2 linked regions of the Drosophila melanogaster genome follow. The protein of the gene in region 1 interacts with the protein of each later gene in a pairwise test. Each region holds a gene or a part of one and is shown in the gene's direction. Other genes may lie near its edges.

Evidence for each region.
Region 2: the proteins of sphe (region 1) and Acp95EF interact in a two-hybrid assay, tested with the Drosophila melanogaster proteins (one large-scale study listed by BioGRID).

What each region holds. Positions count from the first base shown.
Region 1 is NC_004354.4:16,699,833-16,703,824, reverse strand, and holds sphe (spheroide), read left to right. Parts: upstream 1-1,852; 5' UTR 1,853-1,927; coding exon 1,928-2,148; intron 2,149-2,412; coding exon 2,413-2,941; 3' UTR 2,942-3,379; downstream 3,380-3,992. Other genes in the region: CG9673 (uncharacterized protein), read left to right, coding at 1-195, 317-869; CG9676 (uncharacterized protein), read left to right, coding at 3,687-3,913, 3,969-3,992.
Region 2 is NT_033777.3:24,226,644-24,229,779, forward strand, and holds Acp95EF (accessory gland protein 95EF), read left to right. Parts: upstream 1-2,331; 5' UTR 2,332-2,348; coding exon 2,349-2,366; exon of another isoform or gene 2,367-2,428; coding exon 2,429-2,569; 3' UTR 2,570-2,636; downstream 2,637-3,136. Other genes in the region: Spps (Sp1-like factor for pairing sensitive-silencing), read right to left, coding at 1-12; CG13609 (uncharacterized protein), read left to right, coding at 481-1,575; Spase22-23 (spase 22/23-subunit), read right to left, coding at 2,775-3,136.

The sequences.
Region 1 (3,992 bases):
AATCTTTGGCCTGATCCTCTCCGCGGAAGCCTCGCCACAAGGTCGCATTCTTGGCGGCGAGGACGTTGCCCAGGGCGAGTACCCCTGGTCCGCATCCGTGAGATACAACAAGGCCCACGTCTGCTCCGGCGCCATCATCTCAACAAACCACATCCTGACCGCCGCCCACTGTGTGTCCAGCGTGGGCATCACCCCGTGAGTTCTAACTACACTTTATGATTATATACACTTGGATTCCCTAAGCACTTCACTTTGAGAACTTTAAGAATATATATTCATCTACCAGTTCTAATCCCTATTTGTTCTAAATCCCCAGAGTGGATGCCAGCACCTTGGCTGTTCGCCTGGGCACCATTAACCAGTACGCCGGCGGCAGCATTGTGAATGTAAAGAGCGTGATCATCCATCCATCGTACGGAAACTTCCTGCACGACATCGCCATACTGGAGCTGGACGAGACCCTGGTCTTTAGCGATCGCATCCAAGACATCGCACTGCCCCCCACAACTGATGAGGAGACGGAAGATGTGGACGCTGAGCTGCCCAACGGAACTCCGGTCTATGTGGCTGGATGGGGTGAACTTTCGGATGGTACTGCATCCTATAAACAGCAGAAGGCCAACTACAATACGCTGAGCCGATCCCTGTGCGAATGGGAAGCCGGATACGGCTACGAATCCGTCGTCTGCCTCTCGAGAGCCGAGGGCGAGGGCATCTGTCGTGGGGATGCCGGTGCGGCTGTCATCGATGACGACAAGGTGCTTCGCGGTTTGACCAGCTTCAACTTCGGACCCTGCGGCAGCAAGTATCCGGATGTGGCCACCCGTGTCTCCTACTACCTAACCTGGATCGAGGCCAATACCCAGTAAAACTTTTGGTTCGCCATCCAAGGACTACCCTTTATTTTTTTATACATTTTTTTCATGTGCATAAAGTGTGTTACTCCCTCTACAAAAAAAAACGTTTTGTGTTTTTAACTTTATATGGATGCAAACTATATGGAATTTAGTGCTGGTCATAAAGCTACAATCGATAGAATAACATTTAATTGGCGCCGTTCAAAGGTTCTTTAATTACTAAGAAATTACCTTGAAACCTGTTTCTAATTTATGGGATGCCGTCAAGGATTATCTAACAAAATTGCCAAGTAAATGGTCACAACAATTGGCTATTATTGTTTATGGAGTCATATATATTAGAGAGTATGGCTATTTAACAGAACATTTAGATAGAGATCGAAGGAAATCGCCGTAATCAACCTGGGAACCAAACTTTTGTGCAGCTAGCTTGATCAATCGCCAATGACTGGGCTAAATCTTTATAATCCAGATTTGTTATCGCCAAGCTAAAGGGTAATTCCTACTAAATACGTTGATAATTTGCTTACATTCAAGGCAATTTTATAGAGTTTAATTAACACCAAAATGTTTAGACATTTTATTGAAAGAGCAACTCAAAAAATCCAAAGTTTTCCACGACTGATTTTAGATTATTCTGAGACCTGAAGCACCCTAATTTCCGTAGCTCCCCTGAGTCATGTGTTACTCATCATTATCTCCTATAGATGGTTGTAGTTGTACTGTCACTGGACACTGGTCGTTTGGTTTATTTGGACTTCCCTTCAACCGACTTGTGCAATTTTCTATTTATGTGCCAATTAATCGGTGAACTAACAAGTAACAATAGTCTATAGCGGCATAAAGCCATTGCCATAAGGCGATAAGATTAGATTTTCTCTGATGCCCAAGCCGAAGATAAGGATTGGTCAAGGAAGTGGTGGAGAACTTCGGGTAGAAGGTGGAGGAGGTGGTAGTTATATGGAGCTAGTCTCTTATATTCTCGTCGCTGGCATTGCGCATTTTCATTCCAACTGCCGTGGGTAGCAGAACCACCAAATAAAAAACCAAAAAAAAAATACAGGAACAAAATGATGCAGCCGAGACTAGTGATTTTGGGTCTGATCGGATTGACGGCGGTGGGCATGTGCCACGCCCAGGGACGCATCATGGGAGGGGAGGACGCGGACGCCACAGCCACGACCTTCACCGCCTCCTTGCGGGTGGACAATGCCCATGTGTGCGGCGGTAGCATTCTCTCCCAGACCAAAATCCTGACCACCGCCCACTGTGTGCATCGCGATGGAAAGCTGTGAGTACCAAAGTCAATCTACTAATTAATTAATTTTTACTACTAATTAATTGATTCATATTATTAATATTAAGTGCTCTTAAATAGTGGAAGTAGCAAATATGTAGTTTGGTTTGTACAACTAGGCGAATGAGTGATATTTGAAGATGGCCTATGCCTCGAATAACCATGTATTCCCTTTTTGTTTAAACCATTATATACAATACATTCAATACAAAAGTCTTGATAAAGTAATCTAGATTATTCTCACGAAATCCCCAACAGAATCGATGCCAGTCGCCTGGCGTGCCGCGTGGGCAGTACCAACCAGTATGCTGGTGGCAAGATTGTCAACGTGGAATCGGTTGCAGTGCATCCGGACTACTATAATCTGAACAACAACCTGGCCGTGATCACGCTGAGCTCTGAGCTGACCTACACCGATCGGATCACTGCCATCCCGCTGGTCGCCAGCGGAGAGGCACTGCCCGCCGAGGGATCGGAGGTGATCGTGGCCGGCTGGGGACGCACCAGCGACGGCACCAACTCCTACAAGATCCGTCAGATATCGCTAAAGGTGGCCCCGGAGGCGACCTGCCTGGATGCGTACAGCGATCACGACGAGCAGAGCTTCTGCCTCGCCCACGAGCTGAAGGAGGGCACCTGCCACGGAGACGGAGGCGGTGGTGCCATCTATGGCAACACGTTGATCGGGCTGACCAACTTTGTGGTGGGCGCCTGTGGCTCCCGCTATCCGGATGTCTTTGTCCGACTCTCCAGCTACGCGGATTGGATCCAGGAGCAGATCGCCTAGATCCGTTTCATCCCGTTTTTCCTTCACAAGCTAACAAAATAGAAACTATTTTCCCAAACTCAAAGCGGGCAAAATGACTCAATAGTTTGATTTTGATAAGGATAAGGATCGGTGATTGCCACTGGACTTGTGGTTAACGTAATAATCGCTAACTAAGCATGCTTATTTATTGTATTTATGACCTCAATGGCATGGCTTTTATAGCCCAGAACTCGAGTCATCGATAAAGCATTCCGGTTTTAGGGTCAATTTAGGCAAGCTTTACGTAATTTGGGCCTACAATTAGTTATATAAGGAAACTTGAAGACTTTTCAAAATCCAAAACCAAACCTTTTTTTTAAATGCCTTCTTTTGCTGTTCGAAACTGAAGAGATCTGCACTTTAAGATCTAATAATTATAATAAATGTGCAATAATTATGCAATAGGAAACTTTCGGCAAATTTCGTTTAAACATTTTCGTGCTTCCTTAACCCTTTTCGTCCAACTTTGACCTCCAAACTCTTACCACCGTGCGTTGCACACCCCTTGTAATTAGAGGGGCTTCATTTGCGAACGAAATGGGGTAACTAAACTAAATTAGGCAGCAGCTCGATAGCGACATTGACTTTGACATTTTAAGGAACTAATGATGATGAGCGTCTTAGATTTGGGTAGTATATATGCATACATATACATATATATATATATACATCCAGTGAAACTTGCAGTGAGCACTGCTTTTCAGTTAGCTAAGCCCAACCAGTCATGTTACCATTCTGGACATCTCTACTCGTCCTTTGCGCAGCCGGAGTCCTGGCACAAAACGATTCCGTAGTGGAGCCCCGCATTGTGGGCGGCACCAAGGCGAGGGAGGGTCAGTTTCCTCACCAGATCTCACTACGTCGACGTGGAAGCCACACTTGTGGTGGCTCCATAATCTCCAAGGACTACGTTGTCACCGCCGCCCATTGCGTTAAGCAAGGCAACAATGTGTAGGTATTGAATCTTCGGGATTTCGCGTTTCTCAATCAGAGTGCTTGCCCTTAGAGCTCCAGCTAATGAGCTGGAGAT
Region 2 (3,136 bases), on another chromosome or scaffold:
GTACTGCAGCATGGCAGGGCTTTAGATGAGATTTGGTCAATCACAAGTGCTTGGAGCGAAACATGTTCAGTTTTTTTATTCGCTCAGACGCGCTACTCTGCCAGGAGATTGGTAGCATTTAAACCAAGGTGGCACACATGGGGTTATGAACACTGGGATGCGGGGTGCCGACGCTAACATTCAAACACATAAATAACACGAAGTCTAAAGATAATTGCGCTGCGAGACGGTTTTAGCGAGTTTTTAGTTTTAATTTTGTTTTGACACAAACGCAGAAGAAGAAGTGAGAGTGATTGGCCAGGGTTGCATTGCGTTGCATCTCGATGGCCGCCAATCGACCAACCAGCCAACCGATAGTGCGATACCAATAACAAACCGCTAAAAGCAAGAAGAAGCATATCACAGATAAACAAATTTTTAACCGACAAGTTGCCTATCCGACAAAATCCATATTTAATTAGATTGCATCTTGAAAGGGGCATGGAGCCGGTTCCAGAGGAAGCCCGAGGAGTGGGTGATGACGAAGGGGAACTCGATTGTCTAACACATATGATTGGGGCGTTGCTTTTGCAAAAAGAACCGGAAAATCCTGAAAATGGTGACTCAAAGGAAACAATTTGGAGTGGAGAGCTCGAATGGGAGGATGCACAGATATTGGATCAACCGAAGACTCTGCACACGGTCCAATGCAAAATCTGCTCCATGGTTAAAGAAGGTCAGCCGGAGATCAACACGGAGAACTGGCCAAACAAGCTGAAAACACAACTGATACCCAAAAAAGTGCTGGGTAAAATTGGCGAACAATTCCTAAAGGATGCCAGGATGGTTGTATTCCGATCCAGCCAAGGAGAGGTACTCAATTTATTGATCACGGCGATGAGCTCTGGTTTCGCTGGTTGCATCCACTTCCCCTCCAATCCCAACTGCAACATCAAGGCTCTAATTCTCATCTACTCGCGCGATCATCAAGCTTTGGTTGGCTTCATACCCAACAATGAGGATTCGTTTAGCGAACGACTGCAGGAGATTCTTCAGGGTGCAAAACGAAAGCCGGGCGTCAAAACACCCAAGCAGCCACAGCCAGAAGAACCGCCTCCTGTGGAGGAAGATGCCATTATAAATGAACTCCTATGGACTGGATCGCTGAATTGGTCGACACAAGCAAGTTTAGAGGAGCCAAGCATTAGTCACAAGCTTGAGTGTTCCGTGTACATAGCTATAAAAAACGGTGATCCCGGGATCAGTGCGGAGGATTGGCCAACTGATATGCCTATGGTTTTGATGCCTTCAATTTATCTTGGTCAGTTCGCCGGAGCGTTTATAAAGGACTCGAAACTTATAATTCTCCGATCGACACCTGGAGAAGAACACGACTCGCTAGCATCATCAATGTCCGCCGGCAGTTGTGGCTGTGCCCGATTTTCCTCCGAGGTCGTCTGCAAGGTTATCATGCTGCTGTATTCGTCCCCGAGGAACGCCTTCCTGGGCTTTATTCCGAGAGATCAAGCTAATTTCGTCAAGCGATTGCGGGAAGTATTAGACGAACATCGCCAAAAGGCGAGAAACAAAGAGTAAACAAGTATCTCAAGATGATCTCAAAGTATATTTAAAATATTTATTTGAACTCTAGGTATATCAAATTTATAGTCATCGAAGAAAGTATTGTTTTATAATTAGATATTTTTTTTTTTTTTGTTTAATTATTATAAATATAGACCAAAGAATATTTAAACAAGATACGCTCGCACGTCCCCAGTGGGAAAACATACCAAGGCTAAAATATGTAATCAGATAAATAATCATAAAACTGCGAACTCCTGAATGCATTTACGCAAGTTTGTATTACGAATGTCTGTCATACGTTGCCATATTAAAACTTAACCGATCTTATAAATAAACATTTTTGATGTGCATCTATTATGTTTATGTTCTACAACTAGGTCAAGGACAACTGTGTTATCGCATGTCAGATGCTGCAGCATTAATAGACATTAAAAAAAAAACCCCGACTGTAAAATAAGTAATCTAATGAATGCTTCTATTTAGGAAGTTTGAAATAAAAATAATCTTCCGAATGCAAAATCCTTTCCTTTTCGTATTAGTTGTGAATTGATCGAATAAGTATTTTCATATGTTGGGTTCATCATCTTCGTCTTAAGGATTACATTTTCAAAGGTCAATTAGTCTTTTTCATTGCGTAAGCCTTGTAAAAAATGTTAACGAATTTGATTCAGTTTTAAATTTTGAAACGAACCCATTCGATGCGGCCTTGAATACCAGTCATATATATATTGGAGATCTTTTACACATTTTTAGTATAGTTTTCGATTTCTTTAGCGGATATCAACATGGCCTCAGTAAAATTGGTGTGTTGGTACTAATCATATCTGCGTTCCAAAATCTAATATTTTTTAAAATTTTCGCACAGTTCTTTATTGCTATTTTGGTTGTAGCTCTATCCCTTAACACCTCAGCTGCAGTGTTGAACCCTAGTTCGACTGCCAAACCCAGATTTGAGACGAAAGACCGAAAACTAAGTGCTGGCGCTCTGCAGTCACTCGCTGGTTAATTACTATAGAAAGCTATAGATAAAATTGTCATTATAAAAATGGACCAAAAATAAATTATTTTCAACGAATTTCTCTTAAGTTTCTTTCGTTTGGGATACAGTTCGAAATCTTTACAAAGATATTTTATTTGGGGTTTTATTAGATAGACACTACAAGCTAGGGAACCCGGGCGGAACCAGCTGTATTTAGCATTAGCCCTAAGCTCTAAATGGACGAGGTGGCATAGTCGGCCGGGAACTTGAACAGGTGCTTTCCAGTGGCCTGAACGGAGGGAAGGAGTCCCGCGTTCGGAATGATGTTCCACGAGAGGTATAGCGATACGTTGCGGTTGTCCTTCAGGCCATTCCCGTCGTCCCAGAAGTAGTACTTGGTGTTCATGTTCTTGAAGTCCAATACGGCATTGTCGCCGCGCAGGATAATCTTGTCCCACAGTACCACCTGGTTGAGTTGATTGGCCGGTGTCTGGTACTCGGCGGTGAGATACAGGAACAGCTGCTTCACGTTCCAGTTGAAGATGCCTGTGAGATTCGTTTGCAGATCGAAGGTCACGAAGCCCAAGTCGTGCT